Oryctolagus cuniculus: one gene and its partners. The protein of the gene in region 3 interacts with the protein of the main gene of each other region in a biochemical or structural test. Links are inferred from orthologs where the notes say so. Each region holds a gene or a part of one and is shown on either strand. Other genes may lie near its edges.

Region 1 (6,282 bases), on a different chromosome or scaffold from region 3:
AGGCAGGGAGACCAAACGGCCCGTGGCAAGTCCAGGTGTGGGGTGAGGGCAGAGGGATGGGACGGGAAGTGGAGTAGGAAACCCGAGGAAGCACGGCGCTACCTCTCCAGGGCGCTGATGAGCATTCATTGTGGGAACTTTCTGTTATTCTCGAAAGTAATGTCAAACATATGTGTTCCAGAGAACTGATCTTCCTCACAGTTGCCAAGCGGGGAGTGAGGGAATCAAAGATTGTTCATTCACTTGTAACATCTAATACCTGTGTAGGTGGAAGCTATGGTTTGAATATGATTAGCCCTCACCAAAACTCAGGTTCAGGTTTCATTGCCAATGTAATGGTGTTGAGAGACAGTGGACCCCCTAAGAGATGGTTAGGGTTGGGGTCATGGGGGCTCTGCCCTCCTGAAAGGATGACTGCAGTTCCCTGGAGAGCGAGCTAGCTGTGCTGAGTGGGCTGTCGCAGAGCAAGGCGCCCCCTTGTGCTCGCTCTTCTGTGAGTACTTGGACTCACCCCACGCCATACCATCAGCACAGTACGACACAGCACCAGATTCTCGCCAGATGTGGCCACCAGATCTCGAACTTCAACTCTGAGCCGTGAGCCAAACTAAACCTCTTATTTTTATAACATCCTTAATCTCAGTCTGTTTAGCAGAATAGTTGATACCTGGAAACCCTTCTTGATCTTATCTAAGTACAAAAAGCTAGCTGAAAAAAAAAACACTTTTTAAAAATAAAGCACCATGAAATGTAGAATTCAAGGGGCAAGCTAACTCTAGTTGAACACCGACTATTCCAAAACTCTTCTCAGGACCCTAATCCTAACCCCAAGTGAAAGAGAGCCCTGAGAATTCCCAGGACCCTGCTTTACTTGCATCCCTGCGAAGCAGCCCCTGTTAGAATACCCTTTGCTTTCGGTGTCTATAATTCCATGTACGTATTTGTGGTGTCTCTGAATGAGTAGGGGAGAGAGCCAGGAGAGAGGTTTCCGGCCATGCTGATGCCCAGGACGTTCGTGCAAGTAACCACACAGTGAAGTCACCTGCACCCGGCTTCTGCGCCAGCCCCTGCACCCACAGTCAGGCCTTCTCGCCGTGTTGCGCCCTGCGCCCTGGCCCTGTGCGGGCACTTGAGGTTGACACACTCTATTCCAGTAGCAGCACTTGGCAGGAGGATTGCGCCGGGTAGACAGCAGCTTTCCCCACACTCCCTGCACCCCACCCAGCACTCAGAGCCCTTTCCTGGGCAGCATCAATTTCCACTCCACCCAATCCCTTGGCTATTTTAATACCACCCCTTAGCTCCCCCTCTCACCGGGCCAAAGGGAGGACTTGCAAGGAGTGGAGTCACTAAGGGCCCGGTCTCCTTCCTCCCTCTTTCCAGCTCCTCTCTTCCTGACTCCCCCACATCAACCTCCCCAAGTTGGCAAAACTGGGCTGAGTCCAGGGCAGGGGTGAATAAACAAATTAATCACTCCCGGGTTGTAGGAATGCTTCGATGATCATGCTTAGGCCTAAAGCAAATTCATGTGTTTGCATTTCTCTAGTCTCAAGAAGCTGGTGCAAACGGTCTGACGTCTGCACACGTAACAAGCATTCCTTTTTGTTCGCCTCTCTCTGGCAAGGTAGGAGCACGGTTTTGGGCCGTGGTGGATGCTCTTTCTAGATGCTGTTCTTTTTATTCTAACGCCGTAAAGATGTGTGAGCGTTATATAACACGTTCATGATGATCGGGAGCTGTTTACTTCACAAGGATCTAATTAAAGGTTTTTTGTTTATTTTCAGGCCTGAGCTAAGTTCCTTACCAGGGCCAAATTAGAGAAAGGGCTTGCTTCCCTCTGCCCTGTGTGCTCCTGGCCCCACCATTCCCCCTCTCCTCCATATAATCCACCTACAACTAGGTTAACAACCCTCTAACCCTTAAATGAACCCATTTGCCAACTCAGAAACCACTGGTATAACTTTAAATGCTTTGGGGTTTTAATCCCCTTGAGGATTTATGGTTTTTTTCTCTCTCTCTCTCATCCCTTCAAAACTAACCCCAGAGTTGCAAGAATCTGGGAACTTGGGTAAAGGAACAAACCGCCACCCAGACCAAAAAATCCAAAATCCCAGTTCATTGCTTCAACCAAAACTGTCAGTGCCTCAGAGTCTGCAATCCACACTGCCCTGAGTATAAAAACCTGCGTGCAATAACTCACAAAATGCAGGTGTTGTGACTGAATGTGGGAAGCCTAAAGCGTCAGTGGAGGTGGTCTGTCTGCGTGCGCGTTAACATGCGTGTTTCCCTAGCCTCTCCCCTCACGGCGTGGACACACACTGTTGCATCACGCGCAGGGGCTAGGAAGTGTGTGTTTTTCCAGCTCAGCCTCCGCGTTGGCTGCTGGATGCAGCAGCCTTCGCCCCTGCTACATCTCCTGCACCCGAAGTACAACAGACGCTTCCTCGCAAGCGCCGCACCCGCGCAGAGACAGGTGCGCGGTTTGCTCCCGCAACGCGCTGTGCTGCCAAGTTTCCTCTCCCTGCTAACACCCACCTCCGATCTCGCAGGGCTGGCGCGACGCAGGTTGGCCCGGTGCCCCCTTGGCGGAGGAAGGACTCTACACACCCAAGAACCAATCTCCTCCAACCCTGGCGGACAAGACCGCTCGAGGCGCCCAGGAGCCGTGAGGATGTCAACGTTCGCCGCCCCCTAAGGGAGCCGGCGCCCAGTGCTGCGGGGAATCCGGACAACGGAGGTAGAGGGGATGCGGGGGTGGGCAGAGCGGGGCAGCGGGAGGGAGCCGAGCGCGGGAGGGGGCGGGGACGCGGCCGGGAGCCGGGCGCCCTAGGCGGCGCAGGGGAACGGGGCGCTGGAGCGGGCGGGCGCAGGAAAGGGAGCGCTCGGCGGAACCCGCGGGCGCCCGAGAGGCGCTGGCTGGACGCTCTGCCCCGACTCCCCCGAGCCGCTCAATCGCCGGTAGGAGGGGGTGCGGGGAGTCGGGGTAGCAGGGAGTGGGGAGGCAGAGAAGGGGGCGTGCCCTCGCCCCGATTGGCTGCAGGAGCCTGACGCCAGGCCCCGGGGGCCGGCTCGGGAGGTGGGAACGGGGGGTGGGTGCTGGGTGCCGGGGCCGCGGGCCCCGCGCGCTCAGAAACATGCTGAGGTCCCGGCGGCTCTGCCAGCAGCGGCAGCGGCCCCAGCAGCAGCGGCGGCGGCGGCGGCGGCGACAGCGCTCGGCGGCTGCGGGGAGGGCGCCCGGAGCCGATGCCTCGGGCTCCGCGCCGCAGCTGCCCTGACCTGGCCGCGACCTCCGACAGCGCGCCCCGCCGGCACGGCCTCTCGGAGGGCTCCCCAGCCACGGCCCAGCTCCGCCACACCCCCCGCCCCCGGCCTCCGCAGCTCGGGATGAGCGCGGGGGCGCTCGCCCTGGGCGCCTCCGAGCCCTGCAACCTGTCGTCCGCCGCGCCACTGCCCGACGGCGCGGCCACGGCGGCGCGGCTGCTGGTGCCCGCGTCGCCGCCCGCCTCGCTGTTGCCTCCCGCCAGCGAGGGCCCCGCGCTGCTGTCGCAGCAGTGGACGGCTGGCATGGGCCTGCTTATGGCGCTCGTGGTGCTGCTCATCGTGGCGGGCAACGTGCTGGTGATCGTGGCCATAGCGAAGACACCGCGGCTGCAGACGCTCACCAACCTGTTCATCATGTCCCTGGCCAGCGCCGACCTGGTCATGGGGCTGCTGGTGGTGCCCTTCGGGGCCACCATCGTGGTGTGGGGCCGCTGGGAGTATGGCTCCTTCTTCTGCGAGCTCTGGACCTCGGTGGACGTGCTCTGTGTGACGGCCAGCATCGAGACCCTGTGTGTCATTGCCCTAGACCGCTACCTCGCCATCACGTCGCCCTTCCGCTACCAGAGCCTGCTGACGCGCGCGCGGGCGCGGGCCCTCGTGTGCACCGTGTGGGCCATCTCGGCGCTCGTGTCCTTCCTGCCCATCCTCATGCACTGGTGGCGGGCCGAGGGCGACGAGGCGCGCCGCTGCTACAACGACCCCAAGTGCTGCGACTTTGTCACCAACCGGGCGTACGCCATCGCCTCGTCCGTGGTCTCCTTCTACGTGCCGCTGTGCGTCATGGCCTTCGTGTACCTGCGGGTGTTCCGAGAGGCGCAGAAGCAGGTGAAGAAGATCGACAGCTGTGAGCGCCGCTTCCTCAGCGGCCCCGCGCCCGAGCCAGGGCCCCCGCGCCCGGACCCCGGCTCCAGCCCCGGCTCCGGCTCCGCGGCCGCGCTGGCCAACGGGCGCCACAGCAAGCGGCGGCCGTCGCGCCTCGTGGCCCTGCGCGAGCAGAAAGCGCTCAAGACGCTGGGCATCATCATGGGCGTGTTCACGCTCTGCTGGCTACCGTTCTTCCTGGCCAACGTGGTGAAGGCCTTCCACCGCGACCTGGTGCCCGACCGCCTCTTCGTCTTCTTCAACTGGCTCGGCTACGCCAACTCGGCCTTCAACCCCATCATCTACTGCCGCAGCCCCGACTTCCGCAAGGCCTTCCAGCGCCTGCTCTGCTGCGCGCGCCGGGCCGCCCGCGGGTGCCATGCGAACCCCCACGCCCGGCCGCGCGCCTCGGGCTGCCTCGCGCGCGCCGGACCGCCACCGTCGCCCGGGGCAGCCTCGGACGAGGAGGACGACGACGTCGGGGCCACGCCACCCGCGCGCCTGTTGGATCCCTGGGCAGGCTGCAATGGTGGGGCGGCGGCGGCGGCGGCGGCGGCGACGGCGGACAGCGACTCGAGCCTGGACGAGCCGTGCCGCCCGGGCTTCAACTCCGAGTCCAAGGTGTAGGGCCCGGCGCGCCCCCCGCGTCCGGGACGCGCGCCCTGCGCCCGGGGAGGAGGAGCAGGAGAGCTCGCCGGGGAACCGCGGGGTGCGGGTGGAGGGGAGAGGAGATGGGTGTTTACCAACGGCGGGTGACCGCATTGTCCAGGGCAGACAGAAAGGCCGTGGGGCCTTTGCCCAGGAAGGAATGTTTGGGGAACGGGTGGGAGAGTGGCTTGCCCAGTTTTCTGCGTGCGTTTTCTGTCTGTGGTTGGGCCTCGGGTGCGTGCGTGTGATGCCTCTGGGGAATTTTTCTTTCTTTCTTTCTTTCCAGGTGGTTTTTGACACTTTCTGCGACGGGGACTGGAGTGCAGGTGGGGTGGGTCGAGGGAGGGGAAGGAAGAAGCAGCAAGAGATGAAAATACCCGCTTGGCTTCTATCCCGCTGCTGGGAACTCGCGCAGTCAACCAGAGAGGGAGGCTAGGACGGCTTGTCAGGACGGTTTCCTTTTGCTTCCCAGAGGGATTTCGTGCTCATTCCCGAGTAGTGATTTCTCCTTTCTTGAAGCGAAGGGAGAGGATGGATGCCTAACAGTCAGGTTTTCGGATGTTTTCAGCAGCGCTCGGAACACGTTTCTCCGCGCCCCGAGCCCTGGGCGCCCCCCTGGTCAGGTTGAGGGCTGTCTACCTCACACTGTGCACAACGCACAGCAAGATAGGAAGACTTGTTTATATTAAACAGCTTATTTATGTATCAATAGTCGTGGGAAGGACCAGGCGTTGTGACATGTGACTCTGTCCATTGAAGACAGGACAGAAGCAGAATTTAAAAAGAAGAAAAAGGGAGGGAGAAAAGGAAATAGTTCAGATTACTGCACATGTGGATACAAACACATAAAAAAGAAGTGGTTCAAGACGCCATTTTTGCACAGTGTTAGGAATCATAAAGTCCACAGATGATGTTACTTGCACAAAAAGAAATGAAATATTTTTTAACGGGGTGGGGGGGAGAGCTTAAAAACTCGAATAAAATTCGAATTCTACTTCTGTTGTCTATTATGTTATTGAGCTAATGATTTATTGGGGAAATACCTTTTTATACTCTTTTATCATGGTACTGTAACTGTATCCATAGTATAAATATTATCTTAAGGATTTTTTAATTATTTTTTTATGTCCAAGTGCTCACGTAAACCTGCTGGTAAAATCTAGCCCTTGTGTGTAAATTCTACTTCCTCTTGTGTGTTTGACCAAGTATTTATACTCCAGTGCAACTAACTACTGTGTGAGGAATTGGTCCATGTGCAATAAATACCAATGAAGCACAATCAAGATTATGTACCGTGTGTCTGTAAGGGGTCAGTGACAATGAACAAGACAGTCTGTCTCCTTCCAAATAGAGACTGCATTTCTCATAGAGCTCTTTTAATAGCTTTTCATGACTCAATAACATAGCGAAATGCCTCTAGACCAAATAAGGCGCTCACCTACTGAGAGCTGC
Region 2 (6,108 bases), on a different chromosome or scaffold from region 3:
GATCTCCCTCTCTCCTTCTCTCCCTGTAACTCTGCCTTTCAAATTTAAAAAAAAAAAAAAAAAATATTTAAATATTGGGGCCGGCACTGTGGTGCAGCAGGTTAAAGCCCCAGCCTGCAGCACTGGCATCTCATATGGGAGCCGGTTCAAGTCCCGGCTGCTTCACTTCCAATCCAGCTCTCTGCTATGGCCTGGGAAAGCAGCAGAAGATGGCCCAAACCCTTGGGCCCTTGCACCCATGTGGGAGACCTGGATGAAGCTCCTAGCTCCTGGCTTCAGATTGGCTCAGCTCTGGCCATTGCAGGCATTTGGGGAGTGAACTAGTGGACGGAAGACCTGTGTGTGTGTGTGTGTGTGTGTGTGTGTGTGTCTTTACCTCTCTCTGTAACTTTCAAATAAATAAACCTTTACCAAAAATATCTTGATTCAGACATCAGCTGGTCTTCCTGCCCTCAGTCAGGTCTCACCTCCCCCTTAGCCTCCCAAGCTGGACGAGGGCCTTCCAGCTACTTCTGACCAGGACTAATGTCACTTCAGGCTAACTTCAGACTAAGAGTGCTGGACTTCCTCTTCAAAGCACTGGCTTTTGTTCATTTGCATTAGTTAAGAGAGAGAAAGAGAGAGCATGAGAGAGTGAGAGAGTGAGAGACAGAGAGAGAGAGGGACTGCACTCTCATCTGCTGGTTCACTCCCCAGTGTCCACAATGGCCAGGGGATGAAGAACTCACTTAAGATCTACCATGTGAGTGGCAGGGACCCCACTATTTGAGCCATGACCTGCTGCCTCGCGGGGTCTGCCTTAGCAGGAGCTGAGTAATGAACCAAGAACTGCTACAGGGGGTGTGGCCTCCTATCCACCAGGCCTCACGCCCACTCCCTCAGAACACGTTTTATCTTCTAGTTTAACGTAAAATTTTTAAATGTATGCTTTAACTATTTGAAAGGCAGAAAGACAAAGACAGAGACTGATCATCCATCCGCTTGTTCACTCTCCAAATGACCACAACAGCCAAGGTTGGAACTGGCCAAAACCTTGAGCCAAGAACTCTATCCAGGTCTCACTCATGGGTGCCAGGGACCCTAGTACCGGAGCCATCCCCTGCTGCCTCCCAGGTGTGCATCAGCAGGAAGTCAGGATCAGAAGCAGAGCGGGACTGGAACTCGGGCATTCCGAGGGGGTCCCAAGTGTCCCAGGCAGCATCCTAAATCCTGGCCCCGTCGATTTTAATTTCTGTACTTCCCTCACTGGGTACAGCAGGGACCACACTGCCGTTAACTCTGGTCACCATTTCCTGAACGCACCTTGTCCCAAACCCCTCTCCAGTTCCTCCTTCCTCCATCACTTTTCGGCTGGAACATTCCTAATTCATCCCTCACGGCACAGCTTGCACGGCTACGGCTTAGGTGTCCCCCTGACCTCTGGACCTGCCCTCTAGGAGATCTGGGGACGGGGAATCAGCACTTCTGCAAACTGTCTCATTTTTATCCGGTTAGCAGACAGACGTGTACAAGGCCCCTGCTGCACCCTGACCCCGAGCTCCTGGACATCCATGCCCACCCGTCACAGTAGCAGCTGCACCTGTGTCCGGCCCCTCCCACTCAGCCCGAAAGCCCTGCTCAGCATCCCTCCTGGGAGACGACTCCCACACGAGCTGGCTGGCCTTGGGGCACCACAGCCACCATCATCAGCCCCACAGAGAGCCCTTAAAGGCCCAGAACATTCTGAAGGGTGATACTGCCTGTGCGTCCCACAGCACCCCCAACCACTGCTTGGCTCTGACCCCACCTGGTCAGTGGCTACACAGCCAATGTTCGATCCAAAGTTCCACTACTGACCACTGTCACAAGTCCCCGGGACCCCAGAGGGCTCAGGGCTCCCTCCTGAGCCTCTGCCACCCACCTCTGGGCCTCGCCTCCATCGCCCTCTCTTATCTACCCAGCCACTCCGCTGGGCTCCCTCGCGCCCTTCCCCACCCTGAGCTAGGAGGCCGGACAGGGCTCCCTCAGACTCCAGCAGCATAGTGAAGCAACTCGGCTGACAGTGCACCTCTGTCTATCCAGCGTGATGCTTGAGGACCTCCCCACCCCCAAACACCCTGTACTCGGCTCACTGCCTCCTTCCAGACGCTTACCGTCAGCCACAGTCACTGGCACTTGTCTGGGGTGGGGCGGGGGAGAGGCAGCCGGTAGTGGACCTGTTTCTCCACCTCCCCAGCAGGTGCACCTGAAGATGGTGCTCCCCCACCCACCGTGAGACCCAGCCTGGGTTCTGCCCAGGGCCGCCCCTCACTCACCTTTCAATGTCGCCTTCTTCAGCACCTTCATGGCATACAGGTGCCCACTGTCAGGCCGGGTGACCTTGCGCACCAGGAAGACCTGAGAAGGAACAGGGGGAGAAGCTGGGGAGGGCCCTTGGCCTGTGGGTCCCCATCCTCCAGGCCCCAGGTTGATCCGAGCTTCCCAGAGCTCCAGGATGACCTTTTGCTCTCCCTGGCTACCAAGGTAACCTCCCACCCTTATCCTCCATCCTCGGGGTCGCAGGGTGGCTCGGGCCCCACCTCTGACATGACCAAGGCTGCCCTCCCGGCTGTGGGCTCACAACTCACTTTGCCAAAGGATCCCTGTCCCAAAACCTTGAGGAGCTCGAAGTGGGACGGGTCGGCCTTCTCGGAGCCAGCCTTGACGTGGTGCGTGATGGAGATCTCCTTGAGGACGCCCTCATCCTGGAGGAGACACAGAGCCGGTGGGCATGGTGGCCCCATCCACGTCCACTCCCCCCAGACCTCGGCAGGCCGAACACACAGCTCTCCGACGGTGCCAGCCTTCAGGCTCATCAATACCAAAGCATCTCAAAGGCAGGGCAAGTACCGGCCCGGTGAGGCACTGCTCCTAAGGCTCCTGCTGCTCTGACCTGGTCAGCCCAAAATGACGCGGCTGGCCAGGCTGAACCAACCCCAGGCTCTGGCTGAGGCCCAGAGACCTGCCCCAGGCCTGCCTGCCGGGGCTAGCCTCCCCCTGCTGTTTTGGTTTGGCCACAATAGGAAATAAGCTTTGTTCTGCTAACCAGGAGGTAGAGACGGGCCTTTGCTCCCAGTCAGGATGGGATGAGGGGACTGCTACTGGGACATCCCCATCAACCCAGTCTACAGCATGAGGGAGTTAAGGCCAGCAGCTCCGCACCCCACCTGCACAAATCCCCACCACACCAAGCTATCAGCAGCCCCTTGCCACGGCATAGCTGTTCTAGGCCCTTCTCCCCTCCCTCTAATGTGCCGGTATTACCCTGGAGCCCAGAAGGGGCCTCTCTACTTCCCCCGGAAGCAGGCCTGGAGAGTGTCTGGTGACCCGGCAGGGCCAGGTCTGGGCCAGGAAATCCCGAAGCCACCTTAGGCCAGCCTGGCTGCCTTTTTCAAGGACGACAGCTGGGCCGGGACCAGATGCTGGGCACACTCACCGAGTCCTGCTGGGGGCCAGAGCCAGGGCCAGGAGCAGGTAGCGAGGTCTGGCCGACCCTCGGCCGCTGCTTCCTGGGCAGCCAGGGGAGCAGGGCCCAGAGCCGCAGACGGGGCGGCTTGGGATCCTGCTCCATCCGCCCAGCAGGGCCACGGCACCATGGCAGGAGTAGGCAGTGTCTGGGGCTGCCACAGAGGTGGCCAGGCCCAGGCGGATGTGCAGGGTAAGGGCGTGGGGGCTGGGCCCAGCCCAGGGCAGCCAATCACTCGGGGCCTGTGGTTTCCCAGCTACAGGCCTACACCCTCAACCACCTTCCCTTCTTCTCTCTTCCCGCCTCTCCGGTGCCTGAGGGCTGCCCTCTGGCCCTGCCCCCATACTCCCCTGTGGGCCTGCAAAGGCAAAGCCCAGAGCCAACCCGTCTGCTGAGCAGATAGGTGCCCACCAGAGGCATGGGCCTGCCATGCAGCAGCAGATAAAAAGAGACATACGCCAGGCAGAGGCAGGCACCCAAGAGGTGGAGACAGATAAAGATGGGCGTCCAACAGGCAGAGACATAGAAGGACACGTACCCAACAGGCAGAGACAAGAGGGAACACACCCGCAGCAGGCAGAGACAGACAGGGATGGGGACCCGACAGGCAGAGGCAGGAGCAACAGGCAGAAGTGGACCAAGACCCAACATGCAGAGGTGGATGGGATCAGAACTCCACAGGCAGAGGCAGATGGGGACAGGAACCCAACAGGTAGAAACAGAAGCCATGTGGATCCATCAGGCAGACAGATGGGAATACCAACCCAACAGCCAGAGAGAGAAGGGCACACGAGCCCGACAAGCACCCGGCATGTGGCGTGCACCCAGCGGCAGCAGGCAAGCACTCCTCGCGGGGACAGAAAGTGAGCAGCAGAGAGAGACAGCCAGCTAGGGAGCCAGGGAGGGCCCGGCAGACAGACAGACACCAGGGCAGAGGGGGGCTGGCACCCACAGTGAGAGACACTTGGGCAGGCAACAGGGCAGGGATCCTCAGGAAAGGGTTAAGTGCAGAGCTGTGGCTTCTTGCTGGTGCACCTGGGGGCGAGGAGAGAGACGGAGGGGACATAGCCTGAAGCCCCCGGCACAGCACTCAGGAGGACAGCTCAGCACTCGGGCAGGTCCGTCTCGGAGGTCTTCTGTCGCCCTAGAATGTTCTTCCCATAGGGCCTGAGAGGGCCCCAGGACCAAGGGAGTGGCTGAGGGAGCCTCTGTCCTCCTGAGTGAGACTGATGGCTTTGACTCGGATCCAAAAACCCCAAAAGCTCTGCTCTCCATTCTGGGAACAAGAAACTGAGGCCCAGAGGAGAGTGACTCCCTCAAGCTCAAAGCAAACCAGCGGCAAAGCCAACTTGAACTCGGGTCCCTCCCCTGGTTACTGCCTGACCCGGGGTCAGGAAAGGGTGGGCAGGTAAGTCAGCCAGAGCCACTTCCTGTCCAGCCCAGCCCGCCCCCTCCTCGGCCCTGGGGTCCGTGGGGACTGCCCACCCCAGGTCCTGGCCCTCTCTTTAGGAGGTCCTCCCTGACAGAGGGGACAGTGGGTGTAACAGCCCCACCAAAAGCTGCCCCTGAGCGTGACATCCTGATGGGACAGCGGAAGCCCTGGCTCAGAGAGGGGCTGAGGTGGGTCAAGGCCTCGCGGCTTCCCTGGCCACCCCACCCTGAGATCCACGCCTCCGCTTTACCCGCCCGCCTCCGACTCAACAACACTCCCTGGGGACAGAGGCAGTCACCCGGAAACCCCAGGGGACACAGCCACCGCACACCCACTCCTCGCCCACAGTCGCGCGGCAGGCGCTGCTAGAGACAAGCCACCTTGGCTCACCTTTCCGGGAGAGGGGAGCGAGTCTCTCTGAGCCCCGGGGCAGTCTGCCGGGGTCTGCATGGTGAGGCTCCGGCAGCGGCCAGAGGCCCTGGTGCTGCTTACTTCTGCTTTTCGTAGCCTTCCTCACCCAGAAGGCAGGGTCCCCGGGCCCCCTCCTTCTCACTTCCCTCTCGGCAGGGAGGACGGACAGAAGTCGGGTCAGGCTCCCATGCGGGGGTGGGGCTGGGGGGACGCTGCAGACCCCAAGCTGGCCAGTCCAGGGAGCACCCCTGGACACACCCCTCTGACTCTAAGAAGGGGAGACACAGTTTACACAGAAGTCACCAGGCGGTGAGGCATCCTGGCCCCCAGAGACGCCGGGGACAGAAGTCAGCCAGGCCCGGCCACAGCTCTGGCGCTCCTTCCCACATCGCGACCTTCCACAGCTGGGCCGGGACAGCCCTTTCGACGTGGCCTCGCTCCTCTAGTACACCCATCGGGACCGACCCGCACAGGGGCAGGCCGATGATAGAAGCCCTGTCCACAGACACCCGCGTGTTGGAATCCACACCCCCACCGGTACACGCCTGCCCCTTCCTCGCGCCCGCGGAGTCGGCTAACACCCTCTGAGGGGATGGCCGGGATGGCCTGCAGGGCGGGGAGGGAGGGCTCACTGCTTCCTCCGTGGAGGCTCAGAGGCCAGGGCAGCCCTGGGAGCCCCCAAACCTCGGAACAGTTTATTCCCCGAACCCTCAGGCCCTCAGAAGCGGGAACGAAGGTCTGTGAGCCAGCCGAAGGGGCAACAGGCAGAAACAGCCTCAGG
Region 3 (6,270 bases):
CTATGATACTAGCCTGAAGCCAGTCAAGAAGAAAGCATGACTCTTAATAAATGCGGATCTACTTTCCTTTGAACGTGTATTCGAAAGAAAGAATAGGAGGGAAGCAGTACATCTCTAAAACTGAATTTCAAAGACCTTATTTTGCCCATCTTCCACATGGGAGGAATTAGAAAATGCTTTTGTCCTTTATTTTCTATTGTTTGATATTGAATGGGAAACTATGTCCAGGCTATACAGGTCCAGATGTGATATTAGATGTACTAACAGCCAAAGTGCAGGAATGTAGGACACAATAGTCCATTTGGCTGGCTGCTATGAACTTTAGTGTCAAAGGAAAAGAAGAATGTTTAACAACTTAGCACAGATCTCAAAATGACTGAAGAAACTTTCTTCGGTTGAGTCAGATGTATTAATAAAATAATGAAACACTAAATTACTGCTGCATAACTTAATGAGGAAAGTTTAGTATGATAAATGAAAAGGCTAGAACTTATTAAAAATAATCTGATACGACAATAAATTATACTTTCCATTTATGGCTTATTGTGTCAACTAAAAGCACACAGTTCAAATTAAAAAGAAAATACTTTGAGTTTAATTAAATAGTAATTAAAATTGTTTTGAAAGTATTTAAACAGTGTAGAAAATCCACAATACATCTATTTTGTGTAGTACATCTTGAAAATCCTAGTAGTTTACCTTCTTTTAAAGGTGTGATAATTTAAAATTATGATAAATTTAATGGAAAATTACTCAAGTAAATAAAAGCTAAATAATGCAATTTCATCTGCTGCACTTTTTATTAATAAGCTTGTTATTAAAATCTTTCATTTCTTTACAAAACCTGCCAGGGTTCAGCTAATTTACATGTAGTTTCAGTATATAGCCAATGTCTCAATGAATATTAAAAAATCAATCTCATTAATATCTTAAAATACAACTGCTAAACAATCCACATTTCATTTTTTTCAACTGCTAGTTTTTTGGCTCTCCAGAAATGCAGTCACTGAGCCAAGAATTTTTAAATGATTTTCCAGCAAGTGAAATCTGTACCCAAACCCAAGACACTGTGGAACTATATTTATGGTTTTTAAAATTTAAAAATAAATAAAATAAAACCATTATTTGACAAAGAATGAATTCAACAAGGGAATGGTTTATATGAATCATCATATATACAGGATACATATATATACAGGATACATATATACATATGTATATACATATATATACAGCATACATATATATACAGGATACATCATATATACAGGATACATATATATACACAAAGCACTTATAAAAGTTTACAAAAGTATTACATATTCCACTAAAGATGAAAAAGCAGGTTTTTGTGGGTTTTTTTTTGTCAATAGTGATTCAAGGGGTGAATCAGGTTCCCGTGGAGTCTCTGTGAACATAATTTCAAGAACCTATCACCAATTAACCAGTGAAACCTGGAACTGAGCGGTAACACAGAACGTAAAGATTTTCACTTAAATATATTACTACCTACGTATGTATTTCCTGAGTTATAGAAGTAATAGTATTCCAAATAAAATACAGAAGTTGAGAGAGTATCTTAGGCCAAATCATGGAGGATTTTAATGCTATCTAGCTCATGTGCCCATAAACGGTCATTTTGGCAACCGCAATAATGGGAGCCTCAACTTACGGTACTGCTCAGATTTCTGGAAGGTCCTAACAGAAAACGGATCCTTTAATGAATGCAAAGATAAAGATGCTCCATCTTTTAAATGTTTCCCTGTTTTCGTCTTAGTTTTGTCCTGGGAACTATTACAGGATAGCCAGAATTTCCTTTCTTACCTGGTATCTTTCCAATATTTAATAACTGCTTTCATACCCTTATTTTTCCATGTTGTCTTTCCCCTGAATTTCATAGAATATATGATACCAAATAATTCCCTTATTTGCGTATTCTTCAGCGTCAGGCAGTCATCGTGATGACTTAAAATCAATGTTTCCCTTAGCCTCCGTTCTACTAATACTCAAGAATCCCCACTGTCATTGCCTTGTGGGGCAATTAACACTTCAGAAACTTTGCCGGACTTCTTTTTCTCTTGTTTACCTTTAAACAAGTGTTTTTGCAGAACCCTTTTCTAGCTAGGAACATCCCCTTAATAGTGTTTCTCTGTAGTTGATCATGCCAGGGGATTAAATGGTCGTTGAAAACGCAGGCAATAGCAGGCTTGATTCCACCTCTGAGGGTCAAACAACATCAGGTGGACAGCCACCCTCCAGACTGACACGAGAGCGCTCCCCTACACACACACACACGCTGCCCTGGAAACGTCCACTGAAGCTGGGAAAAAGTGTGCAACCGCGCGAGGAAAACAGAGATCCACTTTATTCTAGCTCAAACTGCCCTCCAGCCAAACTTGCATCGCAGTCTTTCCTCCCTCAGGACCACAATTTTCTTGCGAGACACGAGAGAGTTACTGAACAGAGTTCTGCAAGCATCCACACACGACACAGCCTTCCGCGGAAGCCCATCAGAGTCAGCCTGGAGCTGAAGGCGCCCGAGCTGCAACCAGCGGCATCCCCATCCCACTGCTCCCCCTCAGAAACACGCCCCCTCCAATCCCGCGGGCAGGGGACTCCCACCCCGCCAGGGCAGCCCCCAGCACGGCGCGCTCCAGGCAGCAGCCCCGCGCTCGCCCGGGGCTCCCCGAGCGGCGCCCGCTTCCGGAGCCTCCTCCCGGCGGCCGCCTGCCGGCCGAGGGTGCGCGGTGGGGTTAGTCAGTGCGCACGTGACGCGCGCGGTGCCCACATGACGCCACCGGGGCGGGGGAGGGGGCCCGGAGGGTGAGGCAGGGAAAAAGTTACAGAAGATCCGTCAAAGCGCCCCAAGCCATGCGTCCCTTCCCTGCATCGCCAGCCAGTGGCACGGGGATCCCCCGGGGGACAGTGGTAGGGGGAGACCTCGGCGTCTCCAGGCCCGCGCGCCCCACCGCCCTCTGCTCCTCAGAGCCCCGCTGGGGATGCCGCTGCACCCTCCAGTTGCCTCTTCCTCTTTGCCCCTCTCCTTCCCTCCTCCTCCTCCTCCTCTCCTTCCTTTCTCCCATCCCCAGATCTCTTCATCCACTGCGGGCGATGCCACTGACGCACATTCAATTGGCCTCAGGAGGTCAGACCAGGCCAGGCACCTTCTGCAGCCGGGGGTCTCAGTACCCAAACAAAGTTGCACTTCACCTCGCAAGCCGCACTAACCCCTCCGCGCAGCCTCCCGGAGGACCTCGGCGGACCCCACCCCAGCGGCGCGCCACACACCCCCTTCCTAGGCGCGCCCACCCTGCCCTTCGCCCCGCCGCCCCCCAGCCGTCCCGCCGGCGGCGCGGCACGAGCCGGCCGCGGCGCTCACCTTGCTTGACACACTTGAGCCGGAGGGGGTCCTTGCAGTGCTTGATCACGGCCAGCACGTCCCTGATGGTGAGCCCCGCCACGGGGGTCTCGTTCACCTCCAGCAGCAGCTCCTCCGACACCAGCTTGCTGCCGCTCTCATAGGCCACCTTGCCGGGCTTCACCTCGCCCAGGTAGGGAAACTGTCCGTTCTCGGCGCCCCCCTTCAGCTCGAAGCCCAGCTGGCCCTCCGGGTTCCTGCCAATGACACTCTCGTGGACTTTGCTAGTCCAGTGGCTTTTCTTTTTCAAGCTTTTGGACATGGCAATGGGCTGGGTCGCCTCAGTTCCAGGGGCTAAGGGGCTCCTTTGGAGGGTTGAGGAGAGGGGCTGATAGGGGCGCGAACAGGGATGGAGGCACGGGAGGGTGGGGGGGGCACGGGGGTGAGGAGAGCAGACTTCGCCTTCCTCCCAGCTCCGCTCGGCGCTTTGCCTCTTCTTGGGATGGAGTGTGGACGAGAAACGGGGGGGAGGATGAGAGAGGGACGGCGGGGCAGAGGTGGGAGAGCGAGGGTGAGGTGGTGCTGTCCCTTGAATGACACTCAAGGCTGTGGCCCCGCAGCAGAGGAAGCTGTGGCGGCGGCGGCGGCGGCGGCGGCCGGAGCAAACCGAGCGGCGCTGGGAGCCGGCGCGTGGGGGTGGGGCAGAAGGGTCGGGAGCCGGGGGCCACTCCTGCGTGGTGCGCGGGGCGCGCGCGCCGGCTGTGTTGTTAGCGGATATCCATGGCAGCCGCGGCGGCGGGGCCCGCGCGGGAGCGCGCGTGTGTGTGCGCGCGCGCGCGTGTGCGTGTGCTTGTGTGTGTTGTACTGTAAGGGCTGAGGGGAGACGGCAGCAAGGCCCAGGAGGAGGGGCGCTTCGCCGCTGTCGCGCTCGCTCGCTCCCTCCCTCGGCAGCTTGACCCGGTAGTGAAGGCCGAGAGAGGGAGAGAGAGAGAGAGTCTGGGTCTCCCTGGCAGCCTGCGGGAGGAGGCGGGAGCCGGGAAGGAGGGGAGCCGAGGCCCGCTAGGAGGAGGCCGGCGCGGACCTAGCTCGGGGCTCTGTGGCAGCCCCCGGGCCGCGCTCGGCCGCCGCTGAGAGAGCTCGCGGACCCGCGCGGCCGACGCGTCCGTGAGGAAGTGCCGGGACGCGGCTCGTGGTGGCCGAGGAGAGGGGAAGGAAGGCCTGGGAGCTCCGCGCTGCTAATCTGGGACTCTTGGACTCTGGGCTTTCACAGCCACATAGTCCGTCGCGGAGCCCGAGCAGGGCAGAATCAGGGAGACGGCGGCTGCTGGGCCGGACCTGCGGGCGCAAGGCGAAGCAGCTTCACGTCCCCAGGGCAGCGTTTAGGCGCGGGGGCCGGGCTTGTCCGCTGAAACGCGGTGCTGGGGACCCCAGGGTTACAAGGGCTTGACTTTCCCGCTTAGCAGCGACGGAAAGCGAGGGGCTGCTGGGCTGGTGCTGCAGGAGTGGAAAGGTGAATCTGGGACCTGCGGCGCAGGGTGGGTAAGGACATACCAGTAGGACTGGTACTTGGGCAGAAACCTTAAGATGACCTGGCCCGAGAAGCCAATGCTACCGAGAAAGGAGAGCAAGCGCCGAGGCGGGGCTAGTAGTGGCAGAATCAGGGCGAGCCCTGGGCTGGTTGGGCTCCATCCGGAGCTCTCCTTGCCTTGAAGTTTGCAGCCAAGAGGAGAGGTGAGGGCCAGGGGGGCCCCAGGATGCAGGTGCGCTGCTGATGTTCGTGTGCGCCCTCATTTCGCGCTAGACATTAGGAGGATCTTTTTTCTTAATTCCTGTAACTGGTAAATGAATTTCAATTTGCTTAACTTTCAAATGAGATGTTTCAGACACACACAAAAGTCGCACACCCACTCATGTCTTTAAAGCAGAGTCTGAAAAGCATTGGGCTGTGAAGGTTCTTGATGTCTGAGATGAAGGAAATGTGGGAGGCAGGCAGTTCAATTTCAAAAATAAAAAAAGGTTCTGTCGACCCAAACAGAAAGACCAGGTTTGAATCCCTCCTCTGCTACTTAGTAGAAGTGTGAACTTAACTAAACCAATTGACCTTTCTAAGCCTCCGTTTCTTTTATTTGGTAAATCAGGTTAAAAATACTAATCTGAGAAGGGTGTGTTGAGGTGAAGTCAGGTAAAACATGCACGGTGCTTGCCAGCAAAGGTGGGCAGGGTTCAGAATAGAAATTTCCTTTCTCTTTCCCTCTTGAGTGGTTAGAACTAGAAAACATCTTTTAAAAAAGAGGTTTTGTTTAACCTATGTCTTTTTTTTTTCCAATATAAGCAAACACATCCCCAGTGAGTTGGCTACAACCAGTGAGGATTGATCAGCAAGACAGGGGTGATGCCAGGATCTGAAGCAGAGCTGCAGGAGTACTCAGAAGTAGGTTGTGGTATTTGGGCAGTTGATTTTAGCATTATGAGGCTTGCTCTTCAACTGGTAATAAGAACTGAGAATTTGTTTAGCAACAGTTACCAGCTACCATGCATGTTTGAGTAATGCATGTATTTATCGAGTTCTACCTGTGCCAGGTGTTCTCACAGTTTTACATGTACTAACTTATTCCTATTAATACCTTAGTGAAATAGATACTGTGATCATCCCCTTTTACAGACAGGGAAATTGAGGTTTACAGAATGAAACTTTTGTGAGGCAACAAGCATAGTTCATGATGAAACTAATACCTATTCAGACCCACTGCATTGAACTCTGTCCTGCATTTACCAAATCTACCAGTTCTGAATACAACTGAGGGTTGGGTCTGCTCTTTTGTGTGGCAATTAAGAAAGAAAGGGAAGAAAATGGAGCAGAAATTTAGCATTAAAATCATGCTGACTCTCCAGAACCCAGGAAAGACATTGAC

The links.
Region 1: the proteins of MAGI2 (region 3) and ADRB1 interact in a test that uses a peptide from one of them, tested with the Homo sapiens proteins (4 studies listed by IntAct, with this or other methods). The link is inferred for Oryctolagus cuniculus from reciprocal best matches to the Homo sapiens genes MAGI2 and ADRB1.
Region 2: the proteins of MAGI2 (region 3) and RPS6KA1 interact in a test that uses a peptide from one of them, tested with the Homo sapiens proteins (2 studies listed by BioGRID and IntAct, with this or other methods). The link is inferred for Oryctolagus cuniculus from reciprocal best matches to the Homo sapiens genes MAGI2 and RPS6KA1.

The regions. Positions count from the first base shown.
Region 1 is NC_091446.1:16,245,330-16,251,611, reverse strand, and holds ADRB1 (beta-1 adrenergic receptor), read left to right. Parts: upstream 1-2,210; 5' UTR 2,211-2,473; intron 2,474-2,549; 5' UTR 2,550-2,737; intron 2,738-3,161; 5' UTR 3,162-3,243; coding exon 3,244-4,809; 3' UTR 4,810-6,113; downstream 6,114-6,282. UniProt on the Homo sapiens protein: Beta-adrenergic receptors mediate the catecholamine-induced activation of adenylate cyclase through the action of G proteins. This receptor binds epinephrine and norepinephrine with approximately equal affinity.
Region 2 is NC_091438.1:144,953,101-144,959,208, forward strand, and holds the start of RPS6KA1 (ribosomal protein S6 kinase alpha-1), read right to left. Parts: upstream 3,643-6,108; 5' UTR 3,590-3,642; coding exon 3,455-3,589; intron 2,724-3,454; coding exon 2,607-2,723; intron 2,377-2,606; coding exon 2,295-2,376; intron 1-2,294. UniProt on the Homo sapiens protein: Serine/threonine-protein kinase that acts downstream of ERK (MAPK1/ERK2 and MAPK3/ERK1) signaling and mediates mitogenic and stress-induced activation of the transcription factors CREB1, ETV1/ER81 and NR4A1/NUR77, regulates translation through RPS6 and EIF4B phosphorylation, and mediates cellular proliferation, survival, and differentiation by modulating mTOR signaling and repressing pro-apoptotic function of BAD and DAPK1.
Region 3 is NC_091434.1:144,050,280-144,056,549, forward strand, and holds the start of MAGI2 (membrane-associated guanylate kinase, WW and PDZ domain-containing protein 2), read right to left. Parts: upstream 4,156-6,270; 5' UTR 3,681-4,155; coding exon 3,380-3,680; intron 1,364-3,379; exon of another isoform or gene 1-1,363. UniProt on the Homo sapiens protein: Seems to act as a scaffold molecule at synaptic junctions by assembling neurotransmitter receptors and cell adhesion proteins. Plays a role in nerve growth factor (NGF)-induced recruitment of RAPGEF2 to late endosomes and neurite outgrowth.